4 linked regions of the Lonchura striata genome follow. The protein of the gene in region 2 purifies or fractionates together with the protein of the main gene of each other region. This does not show direct contact. Links are inferred from orthologs where the notes say so. Each region holds a gene or a part of one and is shown on either strand. Other genes may lie near its edges. The genes, in order: EIF4E, EIF3B, MTOR and EIF3L.

Region 1 (7,097 bases), on a different chromosome or scaffold from region 2:
TTCTGTCAGGCTTTTCACATCCCTTTCTGGCTGCCTGTCCCCCTGTGTTACAGACCAACGCACAGAGAGGGGCGTGAGTCACATATTTTATAGCCCATTCATGATGCTTGATTTGTGTCCACTGCTGTCCTCCCAACTCCTCCAAAGTGATGCAAGGCTGGGAGTATGTGAGGGCAGCAAAGAGGGCAAAAGGGGAGGTCAGCCATGTCTCATGGGTCAGAGAGCAGCCGCAGAAAAGCGAGAGCAGCTGGCAGCTGAGACAGCTGCTGCTTAGGGAGAAAATGGCCACTGAATTTGACATTACTTAATTAAGAGAGCACCTTAGCATGGGTCCCCCCTCCTTGCTTTGCTTCTCTACATTGCAGCAGTGGGGGCTGGGCAGTCTCCCTTTCCCAATGAAGCTCTTGGTAGCTGTCTCCTGTTCAGGCTCATCGAAGACACAATTAAATGCCTCTTTGTCTAGGGAGGGCTGAAACAATGCAAAAATGCCACCCAGGAGCCAGACCACATGCAAATGTGCCCTGCTGTGGCTTGTCCAGATGGTACAGGCACTTAGTGAGTTTCTCATACCAAATGCAACAGTTATGTAGGTTGTGCATGTCTGTCTGCCAAAAACAGAAATCGCAAACCCATCACAAGCACCTCAAAGATGGCCACAAAAGCACTACCTCAAAAAGTGAATGGAAAACAGCCCTATAGGAAGCATTACCCAGAGGAAAAGACAAACCTGTGCTCAAAGCAAAATACTAAGAGCATAGGGGGGAAAATCATTGTAAACATCTTTTGTGTATGAACAGAGTTGCACTAAAGAAATACATGCCTCCATTTTTTTCTCTTTAAGGAAAAATCATGCGGGATTTCAAGTTCTGTCCAATTCTCTGAAGTCAAAAGAGGTTGCAATGTATTTTAAGCCCCTGCATCACTTTTATCCCCTCCATTGGTACAGATACAAACTAAACTACTGAAAGGCCCACTCCAGCCACAATCCAGGCTGGAGCAGCCTTACTCAAAGCTAATTCCAAGCAAGCTTTAGTTGTGGTGAAAAGGAAGATCCTGCATTCTTTTGTTTTGTTTTGATTTGATTGTTCAAGTTTATGCCTCTTGCAGAGTCTGTATTTAATACAGGGTATCAAATTTGCACTGTGATGTAAGAATGGCTCTCTGTGCATTCAAGAACACTCTTCTGGTATCCAAAAATTTTAGCAATTTCCAATGTATGGATATGAAACTGATTGTTTTATCATGGGACAAGATCAAAGGGAAACAAGCTGCATTTTTGTAAAAAAAAAAAAAAAAAAAAAAAGGTGTTTTTATAAAAAGCATTCCTATTTAACCAGTAAGTTGCAAGCCTTAAAGGGAAAAACTCTACTGCTGGAAATATTTGAAAGAATCCACGAATATGTCTGGAGATTAGAACAATTTTATTCGTTGCTACAGAAAAAGTAGAAGTCATGGAGTGAAGTTCTGGCCCAAAGAATTAAACTGAATTCAACAGGAATGTTATTGATATCCAAAGAGATTTAGTTTAGTTTGTGTCATCAAAGGGCCATAAAATAGACTTAACAGTAGTAAAATAAAATCAGTGTTTTATTTCCACTTTAGATACCATGGACAATACTGTGTGACATTAAAAATTATTTTTATTTTCAGGTTTCAAAATTAAATTTAGATTATCAGCTTTTTAATCACATACAACAGTATTCAAAAGTATTATTTCATTCAAATCACTGAGATATAAGTGTGCAGATCAATTCGAGCTCATACCTACACACCTCTGACTTGGAGATGCACATTGGAGATGTTCCCAGCACTAGCTAGATTCACACTGGAAACTGATAAATCCCTGAAGGACTGCTGAAGACGAGATACTCAGCATTTCTTTACTTCAGCCCCTTCTTTGCTCCACTATGACTTCAAAAGGTGGGATTTTCTGGCTATATCTGTGATACCTCTTTGCCTTCCATCTTAAATCACCTTTTAGTTTGAAGATTATACCACTTGCAAGGCAGCCACATCACTTCTGAGCATCTGGTCTACTATGTGTGTTATATCGTATCTTTGCTACTGTAAGTTGTTGGATAACTTCTGATATAATCTTTAGAGGCTTTTTGCCTCCAAAACTCAACAAATCAAAGGAAAGCATATCCCAAACCACAACACGTGCTTGCTTCCCATTTGTGTGGCAATGAGGTAGGCCATGTTCTGAGCTCAGCTGTGCTATATTCACCTAGCTAATTAAGAACTGTTAAAAAGCATAGCTGACTTATAGAGGGCTTCATGCTGTTCTCCTTGCCTTGCATGAGAGAAATGAAATAGCCAAATGCTATATGACATTCAATACAATTTGGTGGTTAATACGCACTTATAGATCTTCTCAGTAAAATGATGTTCAAGGCTGTAAAATGTGTGTCTGTACACTTTGCTGTTTGAGAATAAAAATACAAAGTTAAACACAGAAAAAGATGAAAATAAACTATCAGGGAAGAAGATGATTTTGGATTGATTATTTATGTTAAGAACCTTAAAAGCAGGATTAGAACAGGTAGTCAAAGAATGTACATGTCTGCCAAGCAAGTAAAGTGGAATATAAGATCCATATGGCAGCATAGTAGGCAAATAAATAGGAAGATTTATTAATTACTGTTTTGCATCAAACCGTCTATAAAGAATTACCAGAAATCAAATTTTGCAGAATAGGTAAAATGAACTATATCTATATCCATATCTATAGATATAGATATATATGCTGGGAAAAAAGAACAAACAAAAAAAAAACAACAACACAAAAAAAAAAAAAAAAACAGTAAAAAAACCCCTGCTTCTTCATGTACTTTCTGAATGTACAAATTTCAGAGATTATGTTCTTGTTTTGCCATCATAATGTGATTTAAAATTATACCGTTTAGGAAGAAATATTTTGTTTTTCAATTTCTGTTTTGTCACTGGGATAAAGATATGCCCCAGTTCTTTTACTTTGAAAACTGTTACGGTATTTGTTTCATCAAGAAGCATTACAAAAGGGTAAGAACTTACTTATATATTTATTGTGTTTTTCTTTATTGAACCCTTTGCCTTTGGTAAGTACTAATGAAATCACAGCACTGAAATGAATCCCACGGCTGGGATTCATTATTTGGTTTAACAGGCTGCCCCGGGGAGTGGTGGAATCGCCGTTCCGGACAATGTTCAGAAATATGTGTGGATGTGATGTTTATGGACATGGTTTCGAGCTGGGCTTTGAAGTGCTGGGTTAACACTTGGACTCAATGTTCTTAAAGCTCTTTTCCAATCTAAATATTCTCTGATTTTGTTCCGGGGACAGGGGGCACAGAGCGCTGTGCCGGGGGCACGGGGGGGCTCTGGCGCCTGCGGCCGCGCCGTGCGCTCAGAGCGGCGGGCGCGCGCTGCTGCTCCCACAGCGGCCGCCAGAGGGCGCCCCCGCGCCGGCCCGCCTCTTCCTGCCCGGGCGGCAATAGGGGGTTCCCGGCGGTCCCCGCGCTGGGTGACTACATCTCCCGGCTGGCAGCGCGCCCCCAACGGCCGCCGGGCGCTCGTGACCAATCGCGTGCGGCCCGGGGCCTTTACCCGCCCCGCCCCGCCCCGCCCCGCGGTGCGTCCGCGATCCGAGCGCTCTAAGATGGCGGCGGTGGAGCCGGTGAGTGCCGCGTTCACTTCTCCCGCCCGCCTTTACCTTGCCTTCCTCCTACGGCATCCTTATCTTCTTCCTCCTCGTCGAGGCGCCGCTCCGCCGGCCGCGGCGGGCGGGGGCGCGGTGGGGGCCCGGCCGGGCGGTCGGGCAGGAGTCGGCTGGCCGGGGAGGCCGGCGAGGAGCGCACGCTCGCAGGGGCCGGGGAGGGGGCGGCGGGCGCCGTGGCTGTGCCGGCACCGCCGCCCGAGCGCGGCGGCCGCGGCTCCGGTGGGGTCCGGCGGCAGCGCGGCCCGCGGTCCGGCGGCGCCCATTGTGCGGCGCCCCGCCCGCGGCCCCGGCGGCCGCCCGGCGCATGTGGCGCGGTGGGGGTGGCCATGTTGGTTCCCGCCGCCGCGGCGGGCCGGGCGGCGAGGGGCGGCTCCTCCGGCCGTGAGGAAGGGCCGCGTTCCCGGCACGCCGGGCCCCGGAGAGGCGCCGCGGGGAGCGAGCGCGGGCCGGCAAGGCACAGATGCGCTGCTGGGGCAGCCGCCGCCACAGCCCGGTGGTGAGAGTCAGCAAACCAATCGCTTTTCCCAGGTTGTGTCGTCTTTTATTCGAGAGGATTTTTTTTTTTCCAGATCTTTCATGATATTCATGATAATTCAGTACTTCTTTTTGTTTTTTCCAGGTGATAAGTTATGTTCATGGTATATTATGCTCGGTCTTAACAAACGTAGCCCCAGCCTGCACTTCCATAATGAGCTGGAGCAGCTGGAAGTGATCCAAGTACAGTTGTTATTCTAATCCCACATGATTGTGTATCATGAGGAGAGGACAGCCGACGACTCTGTTAGGGTTTCAAGAAAACACAGTTAAGGAGGGCTGGTCTCTTGTTGCTGTGCTCGCCAGCTTTGAATAAATAGCCAGTGTGCTGTTTGGGGAGGCTTTGTATCATTTAGACAAAGTGAAAAAAGTTTGAAATCAGTGGTTTTAAATAAAAACTAATTTTGCCATTTTTGATTTTTCGCTTAATGGTTTTCTTGTGTGAAACAAACCTCAGATTTTTATCCATGAGGAAGAGATTGAAGTGGGTTAGCATTTATAAATTGTGTGGCAGCAGTTCTGTACAAGGAGAGTGTCAGTTATTAAGACTGCAAGACAGACCACCAGCAGCACCCTTCCGGTGTTCTTCAGCCAGTGTTAAACACTTGTTTTCACATCCCGGAGCCAGTCTTTGAGTTGTTGCCCACTTATCTGAAGATGAGGGCTTCCTCTCGGTGCAGTGCCTTGTGGTGACTGTGAAGCTTAGTAGGAATTGTGATAAATAACTTGTAATACAGCCATTAGAAAATGAAATTACTCTAAAGGCCTGCACCTTGCGGCTTTCTTAGCTGTGCTGCTCGCACAAAAACTGTCTTTACACCATTTTCTCCACTAACTCCATCAGCACATTGGGGTAGATCCTGGCCTAATGTAGCAGAAAGTAAACGATTGCTTTTGCCGTGCTGTGTCCCAGCAAGATTGATTGCTCAGATCCAGTTCAGTATGAGCAGTTGTGCTGAGCCCCTAAAAGTAGAAGATGGAGCAAAACTCACAACAATTTAAGTAATTAATGCGGTTATTGAATGTTTTGCTGTAGGTGCAGTATGTTCGCATTCAGGAGTCAGCTACCAACCAACTGTGCGTGCTTATTTTCAAATTGCAGTAAATAACAAAGTCTTTGTTATTGTCCTTGTAAGTGGCTCCCTTCTCTCGCCTAAGCCTAAAGTTAGGCGTGTGTAGTGACTGAGGTCAGAGGTGTTGCAGAAATACTGCGTGCTTTGTAGCTGAACAATTTAATTGCATGTGTGGTCAGGGACTACCTCTGGATCACAGGGAGGCCTTTCTGTTGCTCACCTGCAAAATCTGGACCTTGGTTTGTAGAGATGTCATCTGTAATGCTTTCCTGGTAGGAGAATGAAATGAAAATACAACTGAGTAAGGGTTGGTTTTGGTTTTATGAATACAGGCTTCTACTAAGATCAGTGGTGTTTCTTGTACTGTCATAGTTTCAAAAGTAGCATACATTGAAAGTCTTAAGAGGCTGGGAAAATGTTTGACTTAAATACAGAAACTTAAGTTGAGAATTCTGTAGTGAGTCCCATAATAGTTGTCAAAAAAGCAAAATTATTCTGTATAAATACAGACCAATTGCACAGTGGTTTACTTCTCTGCTGCAGGGAGAACTTAAACCTTTGCAACACTGACAAGTAAAAATTCTGTTTTTCTTGTGATATCTAGGTTTTTCTTTTAAAAATATTCTAGATTAATTTTTGAGACTATGCAGAAGTATCACCTGTTAGAGTGCTGTTATAAGCACTGTTAGAGTGCTTATATAGCCTTTGAGGATTAAATGTGATCAGAGAACACCATGCAAAAGTCCATGACAAAACGAGGAGTAATGCTTTAGTAAACAATTTACCAAAGGTGACTTTAAAATGTACCTGCACAAAGCCTGTAACTTCTAGGTGCATATAAATCTAATCCCTCATTGTGCAAATTGGAAATGGCATCATGGCTCTTTTGCGTTTTTGATTAATGGCAGTTATAATTACAATTCTTGTGAATTTAACTCTATTTTTTAGCATACAACAGTGACATTTCAGTTATCTGTAATTTGAAAAGCACTTGTTTGAGAAGGTAATCATACATAGGTGAGAATCAAAACTTTATTTAAATGAAACTACTATCTCAAGGGGTTACAAACATAGTGGTGCAGGACCTTAAAATGCTGGAAAGCTCATAATAGCTCCTAAAATTCCATGTAGGCTGAAAGGTACTTATTTTGCATTATCTGTAGACAGGTAGCATGTAATTTTAATTCAACTTCAGACTTGCTCTTGTTGCTAGGTGTTTCTGCTGTAGAAGTCAGTGACCTGATCTGCTTGAAGTTAGTATAGCATTGAACTGCAGTATTGTGAACACAGTTGCTTGCTCATTGCATTTTTCTGAAATGATGCAGAATAGATGTACCTTTCATGCTGTTTTATAATTGAGAATATTTATCATAAGCTTTTGAATTGTAAATAACATATCTGAGTTATTATGGAGCTTCCTCTAAGAGGGGTATGTTGCACAACTTATTTCAAAGACATGCATAAAAATGGCATATGAAATCAAGGTGTGTTTCATTTACTGATGCTGTCTGCAGGTATGGAGGTACATGCAAAATTTTTTGATGAAAAATATCCCTTTTGGCAGCTTTGTAAAGATTAGTTTGAATTTTGAGGTGATAGAGTGGAGCATTAAATCAGGGATGTTGGTAGAGTGCCTCCATTGTGAAAGAGAAACGCAAACTTTAAATGTGAATTAATGTGACTTTTTCTTCGGATAAATTGTCTTTCAGTTTTGAACTATTCTGTAATCGAGGTTAAACTTGAGTTTAGAAGCTGTTTATTTTCTTGCAGTAGTCTTCGTTTCTTGACGTTTA
Region 2 (7,109 bases):
ATGTCCAGCATCACTGTAATTAAGAATCACACTCTAGCTAAACCTTTAATTAAGCACAAAAATGAAGGTCTAAGGTAAGACACTGAAAGCCCTATTTAATCTTTGTGAAGACAAGCACACATCTTTTCACACTGAATATTCTTCTAACATATTAATACCTGAATATTTGCAGAAAGCTTTAAGATTAAGTGAAGAGCACTATAAAGTACAAGACTACAGAGAAAATAAGTTCACACCACCATACTTTTGAATTAGATAATATTTGGAGTCAGACTATGTACAGCATGCATAGACTAAGAAATAAAATTCCAAACACATGTAGAAAAACTTAAAATATGAGAACAAACTAAAAAATGTTTTGTATATGCTTATATTTCAAAGACATTAAATTTTTGTTGGTTTTGTAATTCAATAAATTTTTCTGCCCAGAAACATCACTGGAAGGATCTCCAGCAATGAGGAAAAATGAGAAACATGCTTACTTTGAATTTCAAACTACTAAAAATTTGCTTTGTACAACTTCAAGCTTCAACAGATTATTCCACATGAAGCTTCCCATTGATCTGGAGCAACATAAATCACAAATATCTACCCCATTACCACCAAGGCTATGTAGCATCCACAGAATGTTGTTTGCAATATTTATCACTCAAAAATATCATCTGCATGTGCATGCAGGAACTACAAATAACGATATAAAATACATAAAATGAAAGCATGTCCTACAAAGACATTTCCATAGGAGTCTACTAGCAAAAGGAGAAAACCAAAGTAAAACACAAAAGGGTAATTAAGGCTCCTTTAGGCATTTTTTTCATAGCCACTTCTCAAAAAAGACTTTGTAGGCCAAGGAACGCACGTTTAGATTCCTGAGTAGGAACACCATGTATAGAACCAAAACTGTAACAGACTGAAGACAAATTCCCACACCGTGCCCTTAAATTCCAAATAGTGAACAAAGGAATCTTCAAAGAGCAAGAAGCTGGTTCAGCCAGCTCCTGCTGCAGCCAGGAGGGAAGCAGGGTGTGGTGGGTGCAGGGCTATCTCCAGCTGGCAGCACTTTAAGGACCACTGCCATTATCTGAACTGAAGCTTCACTGGTACCCAAGTGTCTGTCCAACACATCCCTTCTGCTTTAACTCGGATCAGCTGCTCTTCCATGCCAGCAGCTGGGAAAAGAAGAGGCAGGAAAGGATCTGAGATGTTCCAGTCCTACAGCTGGTCCATCCCACAGGTACTCCTGAGCATCTGTGTTAGCACAGCATTGAAAGAGCCTTGGCTTGGTCACACTGGGCTGCTCTTCTCCTTGGGGAGGCACCAGAAAAATGGGAAAGGAATAAGGAAGCTCAACTAGCAACACACACAGATGGAAAGCCAGATCAACAAGAGTGACTAAACTTAATCCCTGTAATTCAGCCACTAACACTGGATTTCAGGCAGCTGAGAAGTTCACCCAAATTAATTAACAAAATAGGTGGGGGTGGAAAATATGCCCAGTTTCTAAGAAGGAACTGAACATAACAATCCCACATATACACAAAGTGTATTAAGCAGGCACTTAACAGAAAGAATCCAACTCCAAGGCAATGTTGCCAAAGTCTCTTTAAGAAACAAAAGTTCAAACAGCTGCCATACAGACTGCTAAACTGAGAACAGCAAACACTTCCTTAATCTAGGATATTTGGCTGCTGTTTTAGTAAACTAAACCAAGGACTGGAGCACAAGAATGCACCTGTATTCCACTGCCAGTTGAGATAACTGGCTGATTTACAGTTCTGTGCTTTAGAAGCATCTTTCCACTTTTGATACATGTAACAGACCCTAAAGACCCTAAAATAGCACAAATGCTGAATAAATAATGGGGAAAAAATACGTTTGCTATTCAAAAACTAAGAATATTTATCTGGAAAGACCCATCTGAAAAACACTAAATTAAGAGTTCTCACTTCTGTATGACAAGCCCATGTATAAACATTTATTGTCTGTGCAGATACACAACAGTTTGGCAATATTAAGGCAGTCAACAGCCAGTACTTTTATAAAAGTCTGGGCCGACATTTTTAGCTGCCAGAAACGACTTTCCCCTATTTTCTTATCACAAAGCACTTACATCACATCTTTGCGAGCAGTAACTCGTCTCAAATCCTATTTACCTACTGATTTCATTCTGGGCTCATGAAAAAAAAAAGAAGAACGATGAAACACAGTTTGTAACCACATCGACCATTTAAAAAATCTGTTTCTACAGCTGAGTTTAACCAGTGGAGCAAAAAGGCAAGGCAGCTGGAGACTGCGCTCAGGGGGCAGCCCACACCTGAGGTGTACAGCGGCTCAGAACCGCTTCAACAGCAGCTTTTAGAGCAGCGGGGCTGTGCGGTGCAGAGAGAACTCAAAAAGGGACGATTTGAGAAGCACAGCTCGGATGCGGAGGCGCAGGGCTCGGGGCCCAGCGCTCCCCGGCTCCCCACGGGCTCCCCCCGTCCCGCACCTTCGTCGCTGATGTCGTCCACGAAGTCCTCGGGGTCGCTGAAGGAGATCTCATCCTCGGGCTCGGCCGGGGCTGCGGGCGCGGCCTCCCCGTCCTGCTGCGCCGCGCCGGGCTCGGCCCCGGCCGCGGGCTCGGGCTCGGGCTGGGGCTCGGCCTGCGCGGGGCTCTGCCGGCCGGACGGCGGCCGCGGCTGCTCGGGCTCCTCGGGCGGCCCCTGGGACTCGCCTCCTCCTTCCCGCTCCTCATCCTCCTTCTCCTCCGGCTCCGGCTCCGGCTCCTGCGGCGGCTCCGCGGGCGGCGCGGGCGCGTCCGTGAGCTCGGGCTGCTCGGCGGGGCCCAGCGCGCCGGGCGGCGCGGCGGCCGCGGGGCTCTCCTCGGTGTCCTGCATGGGGCGGTGCCGGGTGTGGGTGCGGTGCCCGGTGCCGGGTGTGTGTGCGGTGCCGGGTGTGGGTGCGGTGCCCGGTGCCCGGTGCTCCGGTCCCGGAGCCGTCCGGAGCGCGGCGAGGCGGGGGAGGGGCGGGGCGGCTCCTACGGCCGGGCCATGTGCGCCAGGCCCAGCGGCCCGCGCGCGCCGGCACCTACCAACGCGCGCGCGGCCAGAGGGGGAGCCCCGCCCCAGCCGGCGCCGCCGCCCGCCGCCGCCCGCTCTCCCCGCCGCGCACAGGAGATTCCGGTGCCTTTGCCAGCCCCGCCTCGCTCCGCCAGCGGCGGCGGCTTCGCCTTCTCACCCCACTGCACGCCTGACATCCCTATTTCTGACTGCTGTGGTTGAGCCCAAGATGGCGCCGCCTTCCATTCTACTGGGGTGGGGTCCGGCCGAACCATCTTTTGGGGGGCGCCGTTCCATTTAGCTGCGCTGACGCCCAGTGAAACCTCCTCCCTCAGCACATGTCGTTGCCCATGACTGAGCGGCCGGTGACAGAACAATGCCGCGGTGACAGGGCAGCGCACTGCCACGAACCTCGCCCTACCGCTCCCCCCTACAATCTTTCACTATGGCTTCGCCTGATGGCAGTCGGCGCGCGCGCGGGCACTACCAAGCCGGTGCGGAGGGGGAGGCGCGCGGTGCTTCGCCAGCATCGACGCGGTTGTGCCGGGGCGCGGCGAGGGCGGCGGGTCAGCGCACCCCCCGCGGCGGCGGGGCCATGTGGTACGGCCCGGCGGCAGCGCCACATCAGCCGGGCGGGACGGGGCGCGGGGCTGAGGGCGGCGGCGGAGACCGAGCGCTGCTCTGGCCCCACCTCTCCTCTGTGGGCTTGAAATAACATTTTTCCTGAGGTACAAGGTGACAGTGGCCATGCTGCGGCATCTCTGCCTGCCCCGCGAGAAGCCTTAAAGGTCCGGTGAGCTCCCGGTGCAGCCGGACACACAGGACAGGGATCTGAGGGGTCACGGTGTGCAGTCCTGGCGGCTCAGCGTGATTTTTAAATGGTTTCTGAACTGGTGAAGCTCCCCTATCTTCACGTTGGCTACCAGCATGACTGACCCCAGAGACTTGGCCACACGTTATCGATTAAAGCATCGCATGCTGTCCCGGGCACCTCAGGCTGATGAAGAATACAAAGAATACATAAAGTGTGACTCGTGTCACGATGTGTATTTATATACATATATATGTATATATACATATATATATGTATATATATACATATATATATGTATGTACATATATATGTACATACATATATACATACATATATATGTATGTATATATATATGTACATATATATATACACACACATATATATATATATATATATATCGTATATTCAGTGTGGCTCAAAGAACTTGGAATTTACCTTGAGATGACAATTCTAGAGGAAAAAGTTCTCGAGAATGGTTCCTCTGTACAAACTTGGAGACAAACACTTGCGTTGAGTAGGATTTCTTTTTTTAGCACAATGCTTTCAATTAACTGTCAAAACAGACAATGCCAGCATTAAAAAAAAAAAAAAAAAAAAAAGGCAGAGAAGGTACTGTACATGGCATTTTTAAAATTAGACTTTGTGCTGTGTAATTTTTCAGGGAGGCACACGATGGCATCCAAACTCCACTCCAGTCCCCCGGCTGAGTGTGCCCGTTCCCTGCTGAAGGCAGCTCCGGTGAATGGAAATGATGACTGCCACTTTGCAGCAATTTTTCCCCCTCCTGGTATCGTGGTAGCTGACCAGACCCTGACTTCCAGTCAGCACCAGCACTGACTCTGAAGTGAACAGAAAGTGCTGTTTCCTGCCATCACAACTGTGTGTTTTTCCAAATGTGAGGCAGGACAGGCTGCTGGTCAATCCATGGTCCCTGCTGGGTGCTCAGTATTCCGTGGCTCTTCCAGGGCTGTGTATGAGGTCGGTGTTGCTGTTGTTTCACCGTTCCCACCGTTGTCTGCATTGCTGGAATGTGCAATTTCTGCAATTGCCCTTTTTCCTGTTTGCACTTTTCCAGTCCTTTGGTTAAGCAGTGGATCTAAACATTGGATTCTCCTTTCCCTGACATTGCACAGGCTGCTCTTTGCACTTTCCTCTACTTTTCAGCAACTTTTGATTTATCTGCTCTTCCTTCCTTCTCCTTTTCCTTTCTCTGTTGAAATTTCCCCTCAGTCCCTGTCCTATCTCACTGCTATTCTTTTTTCTTCCAGCCCTTACTCAGCAATCTGAGGGAGAGTAGAACAACTTTTAAAAACAGAGGTTTTGGCACTGGCAGCTGAAGCCTGTTCCTTTAAGTACTCCACATGCAAAACTCCTAATCAATGGGAAATTTGGGGGGAAAAAATGTTGCAGGAAAGGCTTTTTGTAACACAGCTCTCCAACCAGCAGTGCCTCATGAATTTTATTGCGTGCAGGTGATCTGAGAATAGTGGAGCTGACAGCTCTGTTTCCTAAACTGAATTCTGAAGGAGTAAGCAAATTCTTGTATGAAATTTCATCTAATCCTGACAGGACGTGCCCAGAATGACACTCTGTGAGGCAGGGCCTCGGGTAGGGACCTATTTCTGCTTTGCTTTTGTCACCTGGAACCTGCTGGTTCAGCCCCTCTGGTGAGCCCCAGCTGGAGTCGTGCATCCAGCTCTGGGGTCCCAGCACAGGAGGGACAGGGACCTCTTGGAACAGGTCCAGAGGAGGCCAATAAAATGCTCAGAGGGATGGAGCAGCTCTCCTGAAGGAAAGGATGAGATAACTGGGATTGTTCAGCCTGGAGAAGAGAAGGTTTCAGGGTGACCTGACTGTGGCCTTTCAATACCAGAAGCGGCCTGCAAGAAACATGGAGAGAGACTATTTACTAAATTGAAATAGAGTAGGTTTTGATTAGATATTAGGATTATTTAATTAGATATTAGGAAAAAAACTCTACCCTGTGAGGGTGGGGAGCCCCTGGCACAGGGTGCCCAGAGAAGCTGAGGCTGCCCCATCCCTGGGGGTGTCCAAGGCCAGGCTGGATGGGGCTTGGCACAACCCAGGCTAGTGGAAGGTGTCCCTGCCCACAGAATGGGGTTGTAACAAGATGATTTTTAAGGTCCCTTCCTGACATGTGTCCTTTTTTTTCTTTAGTATTTATTGTTTATTCTTAAGGTTTTCCAGAAGCTTTTGCTGCAGTTACAGCAAATACAGAAGTGTTCAATAACTTACATCAAGCAGACTCTTTCTGATCCTGTTGAAAAATTATTTCTGCAATTGAATTATTTTCCACAATATTTTTCTTCAAGACTCCAAGGCAATCTTCAGTTGAGAATATCTTATTTATACCAAATAAATAGTTATGCTATTAGCTTAAGTACAGACCAATCAAAAATCTATAGCTAAATGAGAACATGTTGATTCCTCCATTCATTTTCTCCAAAAATGCCATATAGGCGAAAAATCCTGTGGTGTTCAGAAGTGCTGAGCACGCAGAACTCTGCTCAGCTGCTGCACAAACATGATTTGAAGGGCCTCTCAGCTTAAATAATGTCATGCTTTTTTAATTTTATACACAGCTTTCGTCTGCACCCACGCTCGTGGGGACTGAGCTGAAATAGCACTGAGGGAGGAGGAAAAGGAGAATCACTCGACTCATTCACATCTTTGTAGCAGCGCAAAAACTTCCAAAGGGGAGCACTGTGGTCACAGTTAGCCCTGAAATAATTCTCACTTCATAATTTTCTACTTTAGTTCTCTCCTGTGCACAATGGAGGTGACTAGCTTCCCATGATTAAGAAATATCAGGAATATTAATTAGGGAATGCATCTAGTCCTTTGGACGTTGAAAACATAAAGCATTATTATGGATTGTAACACCTCAATCTGGAAGTCCAAAATCTATAAATTTTTTTCTGTGTCTGACAGTGTTTTTAGGAAAATTGCTGTACAAAACATGCACCTTTTTTTTTACCATGTCAGCTATATCATTCCTGACTAATAAAGTACAGGAAGTGGGAAAAAACTAATAAAATGAGAGGTGCTCATACACGAAGTTCTTGTTTTTATGTAGTTTTGGAAAGTGTATTTGCATTTCAAATGTTCATATTTCTGTGCTTTTCTGAATAGCTTAGTGTTCATTTCTACCAAATTTACCAAAAATCCAGATGCATGCAAAATATAAATAAATACTGAGAATAGGAGACTTGATTAATCACCTGGATGGCGGTAGA
Region 3 (7,640 bases), on a different chromosome or scaffold from region 2:
AAAATCCCTGGATGACAGCTAGTATTCCCTACACATTCCTTAAAGATTCCTATTAAGTCCCTCTAAACTAAAAATCCACAGGGTGAAAAAAAAAAAAAATCAAGCACAGGAAAAGGCCACCATTCTTTTGAGCCTGAAGTTTTCAAGTGAGTGGAAAAATGCATCTGGTAGCCTCATAGATTTTCCCCATTTTTAGTTTTAGAAGAGAAAAAAAAGTAATTCACCCTGTGATCATAGACCTGTTCCTAATAGAAAGACATACATCTGCATGCAACTACTATAGCTAGTCCACCTCACAAGAGAGGTCAAAGACTGAAGAGACCAAGGAAATGCTCTCCTCCTCAGCCCTAGAGACAGTCTCTCCTGGTCAGGGTGGAGGCAATTCCTCAGACACCAGCATGGCAGAAGCTTTTGTTGCCAGTGCCTGGGTTGCACTTGTTTTATAGATAAAGAGGCTATCAGGGTTGTCAAGCTGGCAGCTTTCAACATCATTAAATTCACAAAGCAATTTGAATGTGATACTGTAAGCTTAAGACCTGATGTTATCAATAAAGATTTCTCTAAGGGATTTACACTGCCTTCAAACACATTGGGATTGGATGATTATGTCTGTGAGCCTAAACCATAAACATCTCTTTGGCTATTTAAGGAGTAACAGCTACAATACAGGCTCTTTGCCTGGAAGGCAAAGTATTTATGCAAGCTGACTTCCCATAGAGTGGGGATTCAGGCAGCTCTGCAATCTCACAGAGAGCACACAGCCAGAGCCACTAATGGAGAGGCTGATCACAATCACAGCAGAAGCTATGTGAGCCCCTCTTGGGGATGCAAGTTACTGTTATAGAGCCAGGTAAATTTAAATAACAAGAATCAATCTTTCCAGATGGAAGAGAGTTGAGAAAGTCAGCCTAGCCTGAAACATATAAAGGGGCAGTACAAAGTGTTCTCAGCTGAGCTCCAGAACAGAATTTTCATGAGCTCAGCATTCACATTTGATGCTCAACTCCCAGAAGAGCTGAGAGTCCATTAAGTACCAGGTTTTCAGCCACTCTCAGTAGCTCCCATGCTGACACTTCAGGCAGATTTTCAGAGCCAGCAACTAGAACACATCCAGTATCTTGAGCTGTCAGACATCAGACCCCGACCATAAAAGCTCATTCCTTTTGAAATGTGTCCCTAAAGATAGTTGCATGAAAAGAAAACTCAGCAGAGGCATTATGCACTTTCACTTACCTATAGCCAGAATGCCACCCTTCCTTTCATTTGCATCAGAGCTAGAGACCAGCTCAAATATGTGATGGTTCAGCTGATCGTAAAACCTGGTAGATTCTTCCTGACTCATCTGTAAAAGCAAAAAGTTCAAATCAGCTTTCAGCATTCTCTTCGTCCCTCCTGCTCCAAAACCTCCAAAAAGACAGTGCTTCATATGCCACTTAAACAGAAAGACATTAAATCAACCATACATTACAAGCTCAAAAAAAGTTTCTCTTATTTGTGACCTATATGCAGCAAATTTATTTATTCTGGTATTTGACTACCCGTTTGTGTCACCAACTTGCTCACCTCTCCTACATGCCAGGGAGCAAAGACAAGCTCTCCACTGTGCCCCATTTCTTCCCTGAGACCAGCTTCCATATTCCAAAAACCTCCATTCCCAAGGCACCCAGCCCAATAATCTACACTCAGATGATGCACAAAGATAAATAATCCCATTTGTAGCACTCACCTCACGCAGCTCCATGGTGACATAATGCTGCAGGTCCTTGGCAGCTTTCGCCCTCGTCTCCTCGCTGCGACTCTTCAAGCCATTGGCAAATTGCTGGAGAATGGACACAGTGCCCGACATGGTGGTAGTGTGCTGGGGCTCAGGGGCATCAAGTCCTGTAAATTCTTCAGAGAGACACATTTTTTACTGCTTGAATTGAAATCTCCAAGCTTCTCTCGTAAGGCCTTCCCTCCTGACTGTTCCCAAAATACCCATAAAGATGCTGTGTAGACCATAAAATTACAAGTAATGACTATATTCCTTAGGCATTACACTCCATGATAAAACTGTATCACCACGTATCATGACACCCAGCCTATTTGCTCTCTAGTTCCTCAAATACCAAAATACATTACAGTAGGCCAGGTCCTCTAGGGTGATCTAATCTTAAATCAAGAGTAATGCAACAGTTGAAAAACAGCAGGGTAAAACCAGGGTTTGCAATTACCAATAATAAGTAAGCACAACCATTCCAAGGATTATATCACGATCATATCTGACTCCTCCCTGAACACTTTCATCCAAGTTTCTTCACAGAAATCTCAGTGTTACACCAACACAAGGAAGACTCAGCACTGGCAAGTGTTACATTCTCCAACAGATATTTAGAGATGGGAGGTCCAGTTATAGCAACACCAATCATTGCAACAGGGGGTTTCCTAGCATGACACATAAACAAACTTTCTCGGGAGCCTTTCTTTATGTCAAAAACATTTCAGACGCTTGACGCCCCCCCATATTCAGATTACATAAAACCAAGCCAAGCACTAACACCAGAACTCCCCAAATATTCCACACGCGCTCGCAGACATCCAGCGGGACCACAGGTGAGGCGGCTGCTGGCAGGAGCCCAGGAGAGGCTCCGCATCAAAGAGCAGCGCGGGGGGTGGATACTGACATCAACCCAGCCCGGAGCCGGTGCCTGGCACTCCCTCAGGGCCACAGAACGCGGCGGGCCCGAGCCGGGGCTGGGGGAGCGCCGCAGGCCGAGCGTGAGGGAGGGTGAGGCGGGGCGAGGCGAGCACGGCCGGCGGGGCCGCAGGGCGGCAGCGCCGCGCGGCCGGGGGCTCGGGCAGGTCGGGGCGGGCGGGAAGCGGGAGCTGAGGGGAAGGGGAGCCGATGATGATGACAGGCACCGCCGCTCTCACTCACTCACCCGCCGCCGCCTCCCCTACTCCGGGCCCCAGGCCCGTGCCTGCCCCGCCGCCGCGCCCGCAGCGCCGGCGAGCCGCCGCTGGCCAATAGGCGCCCAGGAATGCCTTGATCGGCATCTCGTCTGACCAATAGGAAAAGAGAAACGGGGAAAACGCGCTCAAATCTCCGCCCCTGACCCAAAGAACCGCAAGGACAGCCGCCTTTCGACCAATCATCAAGGCAGTAGAGACTGAGTGGCAGTAAAGCTGACCAATAGAATGGCTGGGTTTACCCAGTAGGCCCGCCTTCCCGACGCCGGCTTCCGCCCTTCCGTGAGGTGCCGGCTATGGCCGGGCTGCAGCATGGGTAGGTAACTATCATCGCCTGCTCGAGCTTGTGTGAAGCCTTTGGCACCGTTCCGCATGACATCCCGGTCTCTGAACTGGAGAGACGTGGATTTGATGGATAGACCACTCGTTGGATAAAGAACTAGCTGGATAGACGCTCGTAAAGAGTTGCGGTCAGCGGTTCATTGTCCACATCGAGACCAGGGACGAGTGGCGTCCCTCAGGGGTGGTGCTGGGGCTGATAGTATTCACCAACTTTGTCGGCGACATGGACAATGGGATTGAGGCACCCTCAGCAAGTGACACCGAGCTGTGCGGTGCTCTTGTGGAAGAAGAGAAGGCTGTGTGCAGATCTCGGAGCAGCCTTTCAGTACCAGGAGGGGCATACAAGGAGGGACTCTTAACCAGGAACAAGGGCGAACAGGTTCAGACTAAAAGAGAGGAAATTCAGTTTAGATGTTAGGAAAATGTTTGGGGAGGTCGTGGCACAGAGAAGCTGTGGCTGCCCCATCCATGGAAGTGTTGGATGGGGCCTGGGCCAGTGGAAGGTGTCCTGCCCGTGGCGGGATGAAACCAGAGGAGCTTTAAGCTCCATCCCGGCGCAAGCTGAGCCCCGAGTGCGCTTTGCGCATGCGTGACGGGAGCGGGGAGGGCACTGCCGCGCCGTGCTCCGCCGAAATGTGTCCGGCTGCCCGTGACAGCGCAAGGGCGGCTGTGTCCGCGCCAGGCTTCGTGTCGTGGCGGCTATGACACGAATCGTAGTGCCGGCGCGTGCTGCGGGGTGACCCCCTCGCTGCCTCGCGTGACACCGCGGGCCGCTAAATTTTCGTTTTAATTTGACAGCGGGAGGTGCCGGCAGGTGCGGAACTCTTGGCGCGGGGCCGCGGGGGTGGCGAGGCCGCGCAGGCCGGCGGCCACGTAATGGCGGCGCCCGCGCATCTCCCGCCGGCCGTGACGGCGGCGGCGCCCCTCGCTCCGCCCGGGCCCCGCTAACGAGCGGCCCTTCCCCCTCTAGGTGCTGCCGCTGCGAGGCGGCGGGGCGAGCATGGGACCGGCGGAGCTGGTGCAGAAGATCAGTATCAGCGCCGAGAGCCCCCGCGGCAGCGGCAGCGAGAGCGGCGGTGCGGCGTTGGCGGGCGTTGAGGGAGCCGCCCCCGGCAGCTGGAGGCACAAGTGTGCGGCCTACGTGCTGGCGCTCCGGCCCTGGAGCTTCAGCGCCTCGCTGACCCCCGTGGCGCTGGGCAGCGCGCTGGCCTACCGCGCCGAGGGAGCGCTGGACCCGGGGCTGCTGCTAGGGAGCGCCGTGACCGTCCTGGCTGTGCACGGGGCCGGCAACTTGGTGAACACCTATTATGACTTTTCCAAAGGCATCGATCATAAGAAGAGTGATGACAGGACGTTGGTGGACCAGATTTTGGAGCCGCAGGATGTGGTGCGGTTTGGAGTTTTTCTCTACACCGTGGGCTGTATCTGCGCTGCTGGTCTCTACGCTGTCTCGACGCTCAAGCTGGAGCACCTGGCCCTGATTTACTTTGGAGGACTTTCCAGCTCCTTCCTTTATACCGGAGGTAAGTGCTGCATCCCGTTAGTTGTGAATCTGCTTGTAGAAGTGATAGAATCAGCGGAATTGTCAAGAGGCTTCTAGAAGACACAGTGCACTGCAATAAAATATTTGTGGTGTTTCCTGAAGTACTGGTACATAAAGTTATATTCTTTGCAATTGAATATTGTGGGAAGAGTCATACTAACATCTTCACTTAGATAGTGGTGTTGAGGCATTACTGTTTACAAATATGGCTTTAGATGCTTCCCAGAACTGTTGCTGAATCTTTTTGTGAAGTTTATCTCATATCCTTTAGCAGTGTTGCTAATGGCATATTTTCTTTGCTGGGAATGTTACTTTGTTTTGGAATGTTTCGTTGTTATTCTTTAGATGGAGCTTCACTATGAATGCTGTACAGTGTGTGATTCTCCTTAATAAGACAAGGATATTTTAGTGTCTTCCTGTATTGGATAGACAGATACAAACATCATTAGTAGGGGAAGAAAAAACAGCTGAGTTTCTAACTGTCAGAATTTCAGTTATGCGGGTTTCCCTGAAACTGTCTTGTCATTTTTTGCATTTTGTTCTGAGCATTTTCTATATTTCTTTAGGATCAGGTTTTCGTATACATGATCACACTGAAAAAAAAATACCTTATTTCTGTAGGTTTCTGAAAAGACAGGTCTTTCTAGATGGGCATTAAAACCTGGCCCTTACATTTTTTGTCTGGAGAAATTCTTACCTTAAAAAAGAAGGAGATAATGTGTTTCTTGTCCATAGCTGCATGTGCTTTGGTTGTTTTGTAATGTTCCTATGAGAAAGGCTGTGTGGGTATTCTCAGAGAGAAATGGAAAGTTTCTAACCAGACAGAAGCCTGAGAAACTGTTGAGAAGAATGTAAATAAGGTTCTTTATCTTCTTGTTGTTCACATTGTTTATAGTTAGGTTTTGGTACTGCATGTCTTTCACTGCACATCAATAGGTGAGATGTTTTTACTTCAGGACCAATATAAAGAGTGATAAATAAATCAGAGTTATACTCGCAGCCTTCTGAACAAAGTCTATTCATTCCTATCCTGCCTCAACAGCATCAAGGCTGGATATATAGAAATATGGGAATGATTTATTTAAAAATATGGATATTGATCTAGTACCAATATCCAACTGTGATGGACAAAAACTCTCTAACAGTTTAAAGTTGAAAAATGTGTGTTTATTGTGTGTAGGATCACTCCCAAATCCACACCGCAGCTTCCAGGTGATTACAGAGTCTTTTTATCCATACAAATATTGAATATCCAAAATACAAATCCATATTCATCATTTTGGTACATCCCATTCCCTGCTTTGTATGCTAATCACTTCAAAAGCCATTCAGCATGCATGGTTTGTTCCTTGAAATGGGTCGGTGTCCCTTTCATGGGGAGGGGTCCCAAAATGAGGAAGTAAATGAAGTCTTCCTCGTTCTGACCTTTCTACCTTTTCAATGCCAATATCACAAATGAACTCTTGGTAGAACTCCCATTCCTTGTCTTCAATTGGTTTCAGAACAGAGGAGGCCACAATTGTCTTATGTTCCTAAAAGCTATTTGTCAGTTTGTGTATTCTTCATTATAAACCCAGATAACTAAACATTGTGCTGACAAGCAATCAATTATTAGTTAACTCCTAACTCTTAACTTCATCACGGCCTACTCATTTATTTTAATTAATTCTAGTAAGGCTTATCTCTAACTAAAATCTTAGCTCCTTTAAAATCCCTAAATTCCTTAAAATTTACGTTTCAGGAATAGGAATATTCCTATGGGAACTGTTATGTCATCCATGCTCTTCTGTCATTTGAATTATTTAATGATGCTTGACTTTATCCTTGTGTCTTGCCACAGGAATTGGATTTAAATACGTTGCGCTTGGCGACGTGGTGATCCTGATCACCTTTGGGCCCCTGGCTGTGATGTTTGCCCACGCAGTGCAGGTTGGTTACCTGTCTCTGTCACCCCTGCTCTACGCTGTCCCTCTGGCCCTCAGCACTGAGGCCATCCTGCACAGCAACAACACACGGGACATGGAGTCGGACCGGCAGGCGGGCATTGTCACCTTGGCCATCCTCATTGGCCCCACCTTCTCCTATATCCTCTACACTGTGCTGCTCTTCTTGCCCTACCTGATTTTCTGTGTGCTGGCCACACGTTATACCATCAGCATGGCACTGCCACTGCTCACCATCCCCATGGCATTTTCGCTGGAAAGACAATTCCGGAGTCAGAACTTCTGCAAAATTCCTCAGCGGACAGCCAAACTCAACCTACTGCTGGGCCTTTTCTATGTCTTTGGCATTACCTTGGCACCAGCTGGTGCTCTGCCCAAACTGTGAAAAGAGCTGTAGGGTCAAGCCTCATAATTCACTATTCATGCCAATTAACAGTGAATAAATATGAATTTATGAATAAATGGACGTTATGGACAGTGAGAAGAATGGAAAGACCTTGCACTGTTGATAGTGAAATTATGATTTCTGGTCATGGAAAGCTTATAGAACACAGCTTATACTTTCAAAAAAGTGATTTATCAGTTCTTCAGAAGAACTGTGTGGCTTTGATGTGAGGAACAAGGGGACAGGTCAAGGAAATGTTTAAAGAACCTCATCCTTCTGCTATGTAATTTTTTCACTGTCAGTTCACTCTATGAAAGATAGAGCCTCAAATCACACTCTCCATTCACTTCACAAGCACAATGATTTCTCTTATCACTTCTTTTCTTATAGTGGTGAAAGAGTCCAGTGGCTCCCATATGGGAGTCAGAAAACACTGCCAAATGTTTAGCATCACAATGTAGGTGCCATTAATTCACTT
Region 4 (6,859 bases), on a different chromosome or scaffold from region 2:
CTTATATCTTTCCCTCTATTACTTATAAAGAAACATGTTGCTGTTCTTCTGACCCTTTGTCCAGCTCTGTCCTCTCCATCTGATCTTTCTCTCCAAAACTCACAAACCAGAAATTAATTGCAGCAACTCACTGAGAATGTAGTTGAAGAGATTGCAGTAATTGTAATAAGACTCAAATCTCTGCTCCAGCGTGGGCCCCCCCTGCAAAGAGAAGTCAGCAGAGTCTGCTTCAAATCAAGCAGGGCAGGAGGGAGTTCATGGGCAACAGCATAAGGACAGTCACAACAGTAGAGGGTCTGGTTCAGGAGTGCTAGAGCCAGTATTCAACCAGGACACCCACCAGCATCGCCCAGAAAACCTGTAATTGTAGCACTGCTGTCCCACAAAATAGGGATGGCTTTTCCTGTATAGGCAGATTCTCCCAGGATATCAAGCAGTCAAACATCCTGTGAATATTCTGCATTAACCTTCCCTGCTCCCCTCTGCTGTTCAGATTCAAGAACTTCACTATTCCTTCACCAGCTTTCCTTCCTTCTCTGCTCATGAGAAGCCTTAATAGATGAACAATTCTGTTTCTGGACATAATTCCTAGACACTTGACCTACTGGTTCTTGTTTCAGCTGGAGACACTGAGTCTGAAAACCACTAATGGCACAGCTTGAGAAACCAGTTTCTCCTGCTGAAGTTTGGCTTGGGCACACAGCAGGCTTTTAAAAGTGTCCATTTCTCCACCCTCTGGTCTACAATAAAACTGCAGTTATTACTTATTTACCCAAAAGTCATGCATCTGTTGAGACTTTTTCCTTTAAGAACCAAGTACTATGACTTTCTCATTGATTAAAGAGACTTAGAAATAGGCTTAAAAAAGACAAAGTTTGTTTCGTTTCACAGAGCACTATTCTTTTCATTTCCTTCTTCTCCATCCTTCATGGTATCCATGTTTCCCTTTTCATAAGGCACTCTGATCCCATATGAGGATTTTTATGACAAATAATGCACCTTCCTCTTGTGACACCCCTTCTCACTGCCTGCTCATTTGAAGAGGAAAAACAAAGAAACACACATAAGCAAAAAAAAAGGAAAATTCAGTTACCTTCCAACACCCCCTTATTCCCTAACTCACTAACCATTACATTTGCTGTTAGAAACAAAGAGCCTCCTGAACACTCAGATCCAGTCTCCTGATTCATCTGAGCTACCACAGAAACCAGCACACTCATCACCACCAAGCCTGAAGAGACAGCTAATGAGCCTCAAACAGACAATCAAGTCTTTCTTGCTTTTCAGCAGTCAGTGAATCCTTACTAAACTACCAAAAGCAAAAATTTTAATCTTCCCTAAAATCAGTGTGACTTACAGCTCATGAACCCATCCAATCCTGCCTTGCAAAGGTTAGGGGACCACTGATACTGTAGGGCAGCAAGACTTGTCAAGTTTGCTGGCACAGAGAAGCCAGCAAGCAGCCCACAAGAAGACACAGGGCCAACACTCACGCTGACTTTGGCGTAGATGTGCCTGTAGTACAGCTCCTTGTATAGGATCAGGAAAACTGCATCTGGAAAAGACAACATAAGAGGACATTAGCAAGCCACAAGGCCTAGAAGCCTTCTGCCAGAACAACGAAAGGAAGCACAAAAAGACGCTTCACTCAAGTCTGACTTCTTGCCAGGCATCTGCTGAAAGAGCTGCCAGAGTGAACAAAGGCGACCGACTCAGGCAGCAACAACGCTGTGCACCTGATAACTCAGGGTCAGGAGAAATTCAGTTCCTTCTCTCTCTGACAACCCAACAGAAAGTGGAAAGACTCACCATTTCCAACCTGAGGAGCAATGGCCTCAGCCTCTGGCCATGGAGTGTTCTTAAAAAACCTTTCTGTCAGTTTTGTCCAGCTGAAAAACAGACACACATGAGGTATGAAAATCCACGTTTCACTCAGTATGACAGTGCTGGAGTCAGAGATGACAACAGAGAGAGGCCTTGGACTTGATGAAAGCTGAGCAGCACCACCAACCCCTGCTAGTAAATCCAATGTTGAAGCATACCATGAGAATCACAAGCTGAGCAGTAAGATTGCAATTTATCTCCCAGGCATGAAACAGACATGTACGTCACTTCCACACTCCCTTTAAGTCAAGCTGCCCCAGCTACAAGCAGGAGTGGAAGCAACCGTTTGGAAGAGACACAAAAGCTGTACCTCAGGTTTTTGCAAACTGCCAGACTAACACCACTGAGAGCCCTCTTTGCAGCCTCCCTCCCTGTTAGGCCAGGGCTGACACTTCCCTTCAGACAAATCACAACTCGTCTATACTCACATTGGCCTAATGGGCTGGTAATACCAACGAATTTTTTTTCACAGTTACCAAACAAAACCCGTTTCAGAGAAAGCCCAAGTTCGGAACAGCACAGGTAGCAGCCTTCCCTTTTAACAGCATCACAAGTTAAAACAGTGATTTCCATCTGTTGGAAGTACCTGTTCTCATAAATGTCCTGGATCTCGTACACCTTCTGGTCAATAACATCACTGGAAACGCGGCTGGCCTGGAGCTCATACACCTTCTGGTCAATGAGATCTGACACCGTCTTGTGAAAATACTGAATGAAGTTTTTGATCACTTCGGGGATCACCTGGTAGGTCTGCTGTTCGTACTGGCGCTCGTAGGCCAGGTCTTGCTTGGGGTCTCCTGCGGAGAAGGAGGAGCAGTGAGGCAGCGCCGCACGGCCCGGCCGGGGCGCAGGCAGGCGCGGGGCGCTCACACTCACCCGTGTGCATGTCATAGTCGTTGGAGTAGGCGTAGGGGTCGTAGGCAGCCTGTGGGGAGAGGGCGGCAGTGAGTCCCCGCGAACCCGGCCCCGAGCCCCGCGCCCCCCAGGCCCGCGGCCCGCACCTCGGTGTCGTAGTCCTCCCCCGGGTAGGCCATGGCGGCGGCGCGGCGCGGACAGCGCTGCGGGCGGAAACGCGGGCCTGGCGCGGGGGCGGGGCGAAGGGCCGAGCGGAGCCCTTCTACTGGCCACAGCAAGTGCCTGTCTTCACCCGGGCGGGCCGGCCGCCCCTCTCTGTCTGACTGGGGAAGGCAGCTGCCCGTCAGGCTCTCTGGCCCCTGCCCGCCGCGCCTCCCCGCCCGCTCCCTGCCCATTGGCTGCACCGCGGGCTGTGCCGCCGGTGGCGTCCCGCCCCTGCCGGCCCGGCCGTGACGGGATGGAGGGCGGCGGGGCTGGCGGGGCGCCCGCCGCGGGGCCGGACTCGGAGCCGGGGCCGGACTCGGAGGCACAGCCGCAGCCGCGCATCGCGCTGCCGCCGCTCGGAGCGGACGCACCCCTCGGTTACCTGCACGTCCTGTGGCAGCGGGAGGAGCCCGCGGGCAAGATCCCGGCCCGCCGCCTGCGCAGGGCCGCCCGCCTCCACCGGCGGCTGGGCCCGACGGGCAAGGAGGCGCACGGTGAGCGGCGGCGGGGAGCCGCTGTCCCGCGGCCGAACAGCCGCTCTGCGGCCCGCCCCGCTCGGGCCGCGGCAGGCAGGGAGGGAAGGGAGGGCGGGCGGCTCTGTTCCGTGCCCGTCCCTGCCGGGGGAAGGCGCCCGTCGGGAGCGGGCGGGCCCGCAGCCCGCTTCGGCAGGAGACAGGAGAACCATTCTATATCCTGCTGTCCTGATCTGCTTCCCATTCTCTGGAGCCGGTAGCAGCCTGATTTGGCCCCCCGCGTGTGCTCGAACACCGGGGTGGAACGTGTCTGTAGGGAAACGTGCCTTTTCCCTCTGTACTTTCCAGTAATTGCTTTCTTTCCTCCATAGCTCTGAAAAGGCTGCGTGAAGCTGCCAATAGCAACGATTTGGACACAGGTAAGGCTTCTGTCAGTCCCACTTGGGACCTCTTCTTGGAAGGGCATTATCTCAAAGGCTCTTACTCCAGGAGAGGAGGAAGTGGATGCAGATAGTTTGTGGTCAGGGTGCTTTAGATGCTTCAGATGTAGAAAAGGCTTTTTTAAAATCCAGGTTTGTTCTCCAAGCAGAGTGTGGCTGGTTATTGTTTTCACTTTTTCATTGCACCTGGTTCATAGTGTTAGTTTTCCATCTGCCTGGGCCTAAATCAACGCTGTACTGTCCCAGCTGTTTTGGTATGTTCTTTTGCCCAGTTGTTAGCAGCAAGAGAATAATGTTTTGATTTAGGTGAAAAAGTTATGATTACCTAAGCCATACACTGTATGATGAGGCAGTGTGACCCAGTAGATTAGAACCAGGGCCAGAGCTGGACTCTCCTAGTTTCTGCAAAATTCCCTTGTGATCCATAAATTCTGCTTTCCAGATGTCCAACCTCAACACTACATCTTTGTCTCTCAGGCTTTGTTAATTGAAGCATATCAGAGTTAGTTTATCAAAACTTAAAGTCTTAGTAAATTTTGCAATCTGTGCTCCTACAAAATGAACTTAATGACAACTTTGCTAGATGCTGGCTAAGAGTAATAAAAGAATAACACACAATTTATAATGAATTAATATTTATTGATTATGACTAAACAATCTAATTAAAAGGTAATTAAAAACATTAGCTAAAATTACTAAAAAGTTCTGACATTTCCAAAAATTTCCCCCTTTGGAAGTGATCTTAATTTTCCTTTATGATTACTTGCACTTAAATTGTTGAATATCTAGCAAAACTTAAGACATCAAGATGCAAAAAATTTGCTTGTATTTTGTTATAAGATATCATAGATCATTAATTCCGAATGAAATTCTAAATCGGGGTATTATCTCTTTTAACAATATCTTGGTAACTTCTCTTGCTTTGTTGGTGCAAGTAGCTATCCAAAAAATGTGTCAGCTAAAACCAATATGTATCAATATCCTTCTTGTCGAGGTAATTCAGAAAAATCTGTTTGCCTATAAACTCCAGGACAGTTTTCTCTTTTTATAATCCCTAAAGGAGGTCTTTTGTAGGGCTGTGGATTGTGTTGCAAACATATACACTTACTGACTACACTTTTAATTCCTGGTATTTTTACACTAATTGCTTGATGTTTCAAGTTGTCTCTCATAGCTTCTGCTCCCCAGTGTGTTTCTCTGTGTTTATCTTTTCCTGCTTCTCTCATCACTGCTTGAGGTACTATGTTGTTCCATTTCTCTTTCTTTTGGCAATATAATATCAACTCTAAAATACCATTTTGGTGTCAAATACCATGAACTGACCATTTTCCTTGATTATCTAATAGATACTCTAGCCACCAGAGAATACATTATGCTATTACCAGTTAAAGAATTGCTTTTAAATTCTTTCCAGTGCTGCAAAATGCAACCTAAAGGCAAACATTTGCGTATACCCCTCTTCCCGGGCTCGAGAAGAAAAAGGAAAGCCCACAGTAAATAGAAATTCCAGCAATGACAAAAACACGACACGAGAGAGCGCTCTGTGCACACCAACATAACCCCAGTCAGCTAGGAGGAGCAGCCGCTGTTCTAACGCCAGGAGAGGGCTCTGAGCAAAGGACCCTCGCTTTAACAATTTACATTACCCAAAACCAAACACTTAGTACACACCAAGTACACTAAAATTCACAGTCAACATACAATGGCTTAAACACTCTTACAGCCAATGAGTTTTCATACAGACTCAATTTATGCTTATGACACACGTTAACACACACATTTTCCAACACTAACAGATACCATAGGCTTCAATAAGCAGACATATCTGGGCAAAGCCCTTCCACAACGTGGCTCTTCATGCAAGCAGCACTGTCTGACTAATTTATGGGCAAAGCAGAGGGTGAAGACTCAACACCTTTTGACTGTCACTTATATAGTTTTACAATTAGAGTTTTCCAACTAGACAGTGGGACTCAAACACAATTCCATTAATATTCACTTACAGAGTTTTACACTAACTTTAATAGAAAATAGCCAATTATATATCATAACTTTCTTAACTCTTATTATGTTAGAGAGTGCAAGCTTATGATTAGGTATACCTTTTTAAACCTTCAGTAATGTCTTAATAAACTCCCAGGATTTTTTGCCTTGAACTTGCCTGGATCAGAGGATTGAACATTTTCCCTGAAAAAAGTCTTTCAGTGTGCACCAAAGTCCTTGTTCCTGTAAGTCTGTGGAACATCAAATGCGTTGTCTCACCTGGGTCACCAGTAAATTGTTACTAAATCCTTCTAAATTGTTGGGGTAAATAAACCCCTCTAACATTTTCTTTATAGTGTTAGTGCGTAAGATGTTACGTTGTTGCTGGCCAGGAGGGATTTTTGTGGCTCACAAAATTCTGACCTCCACTCAGACTCAGATATAAAACTTCTTCACTTATTTATATTTTTTAGCAAACAAATAAATGAATGTTCATTGGTTGTAAATTGCATAATTCTCTTCTATTAATTAGTACGGTGTCCTCTGTGGGGTATTGATTTCTTGCTTCTCATGCTAGCTGGTCTATATTTTTAGTCTTTTTAGTATCTTTCTCCTCTGGTAGGGACTTTCCAACACATACACTGAGTTGGAAAGTCTTTGTTAGTCCCTTATTTATCTTCTGGTTTCTGCACAGTCCTTGTGGTCCATAAATTCTACATTCTAGATGTCCAACCTCAACCATACATCTTTCTCAGGTTTTGTTCATTGAAGCATGTCAGAGTTAGTTTATCAAAAGTTAAAGTTCCAGTAGTTTCCCCAAGCTATGTTCCTACAAAAGTACATTATGACAGCTTTGCTAAATACTGGCTAAGAATAATTTAAGAATCACACACTGTTTATAATTGTATATATAGATTATGATTTACTAGAGCTATTAATTTAAAAGTTAATTAAAATCACTAACTAAAATTATTAAAAAGTTATATCATTTCCAACAGGGAGATGAAAGAATGCAGTTTT

What was found.
Region 1: the proteins of EIF3B (region 2) and EIF4E purify together in Homo sapiens (affinity purification with western blotting; 5 studies listed by BioGRID and IntAct, with this or other methods). This does not show direct contact. The link is inferred for Lonchura striata from reciprocal best matches to the Homo sapiens genes EIF3B and EIF4E.
Region 3: the proteins of EIF3B (region 2) and MTOR purify together in Homo sapiens (affinity purification with western blotting; 3 studies listed by BioGRID and IntAct, with this or other methods). This does not show direct contact. The link is inferred for Lonchura striata from reciprocal best matches to the Homo sapiens genes EIF3B and MTOR.
Region 4: the proteins of EIF3B (region 2) and EIF3L purify together in Homo sapiens (affinity purification with mass spectrometry; 8 studies listed by BioGRID and IntAct, counting the BioPlex papers as one, with this or other methods). This does not show direct contact. The link is inferred for Lonchura striata from reciprocal best matches to the Homo sapiens genes EIF3B and EIF3L.

What each region holds. Positions count from the first base shown.
Region 1 is NC_134606.1:49,886,357-49,893,453, forward strand, and holds the start of EIF4E (eukaryotic translation initiation factor 4E), read left to right. Parts: upstream 1-4,086; 5' UTR 4,087-4,273; coding exon 4,274-4,414; intron 4,415-7,097. UniProt on the Homo sapiens protein: Acts in the cytoplasm to initiate and regulate protein synthesis and is required in the nucleus for export of a subset of mRNAs from the nucleus to the cytoplasm which promotes processes such as RNA capping, processing and splicing.
Region 2 is NC_134618.1:13,450,337-13,457,445, reverse strand, and holds the start of EIF3B (eukaryotic translation initiation factor 3 subunit B), read right to left. Parts: upstream 3,017-7,109; 5' UTR 2,877-3,016; coding exon 2,489-2,876; intron 1-2,488.
Region 3 is NC_134626.1:5,764,176-5,771,815, reverse strand, and holds the start of MTOR (serine/threonine-protein kinase mTOR), read right to left. Parts: upstream 3,006-7,640; 5' UTR 2,922-3,005; intron 1,891-2,921; 5' UTR 1,847-1,890; coding exon 1,727-1,846; intron 1,343-1,726; coding exon 1,234-1,342; intron 1-1,233. Other genes in the region: UBIAD1 (ubiA prenyltransferase domain-containing protein 1), read left to right, coding at 4,292-4,814, 6,675-7,162. UniProt on the Homo sapiens protein: Serine/threonine protein kinase which is a central regulator of cellular metabolism, growth and survival in response to hormones, growth factors, nutrients, energy and stress signals.
Region 4 is NC_134607.1:23,541,929-23,548,787, reverse strand, and holds the start of EIF3L (eukaryotic translation initiation factor 3 subunit L), read right to left. Parts: upstream 3,016-6,859; 5' UTR 2,919-3,015; coding exon 2,886-2,918; intron 2,810-2,885; coding exon 2,761-2,809; intron 2,682-2,760; coding exon 2,471-2,681; intron 1,890-2,470; coding exon 1,810-1,889; intron 1,556-1,809; coding exon 1,494-1,555; intron 202-1,493; coding exon 132-201; intron 1-131. Other genes in the region: ANKRD54 (ankyrin repeat domain-containing protein 54), read left to right, coding at 3,197-3,437, 3,788-3,835. UniProt on the Homo sapiens protein: Component of the eukaryotic translation initiation factor 3 (eIF-3) complex, which is required for several steps in the initiation of protein synthesis.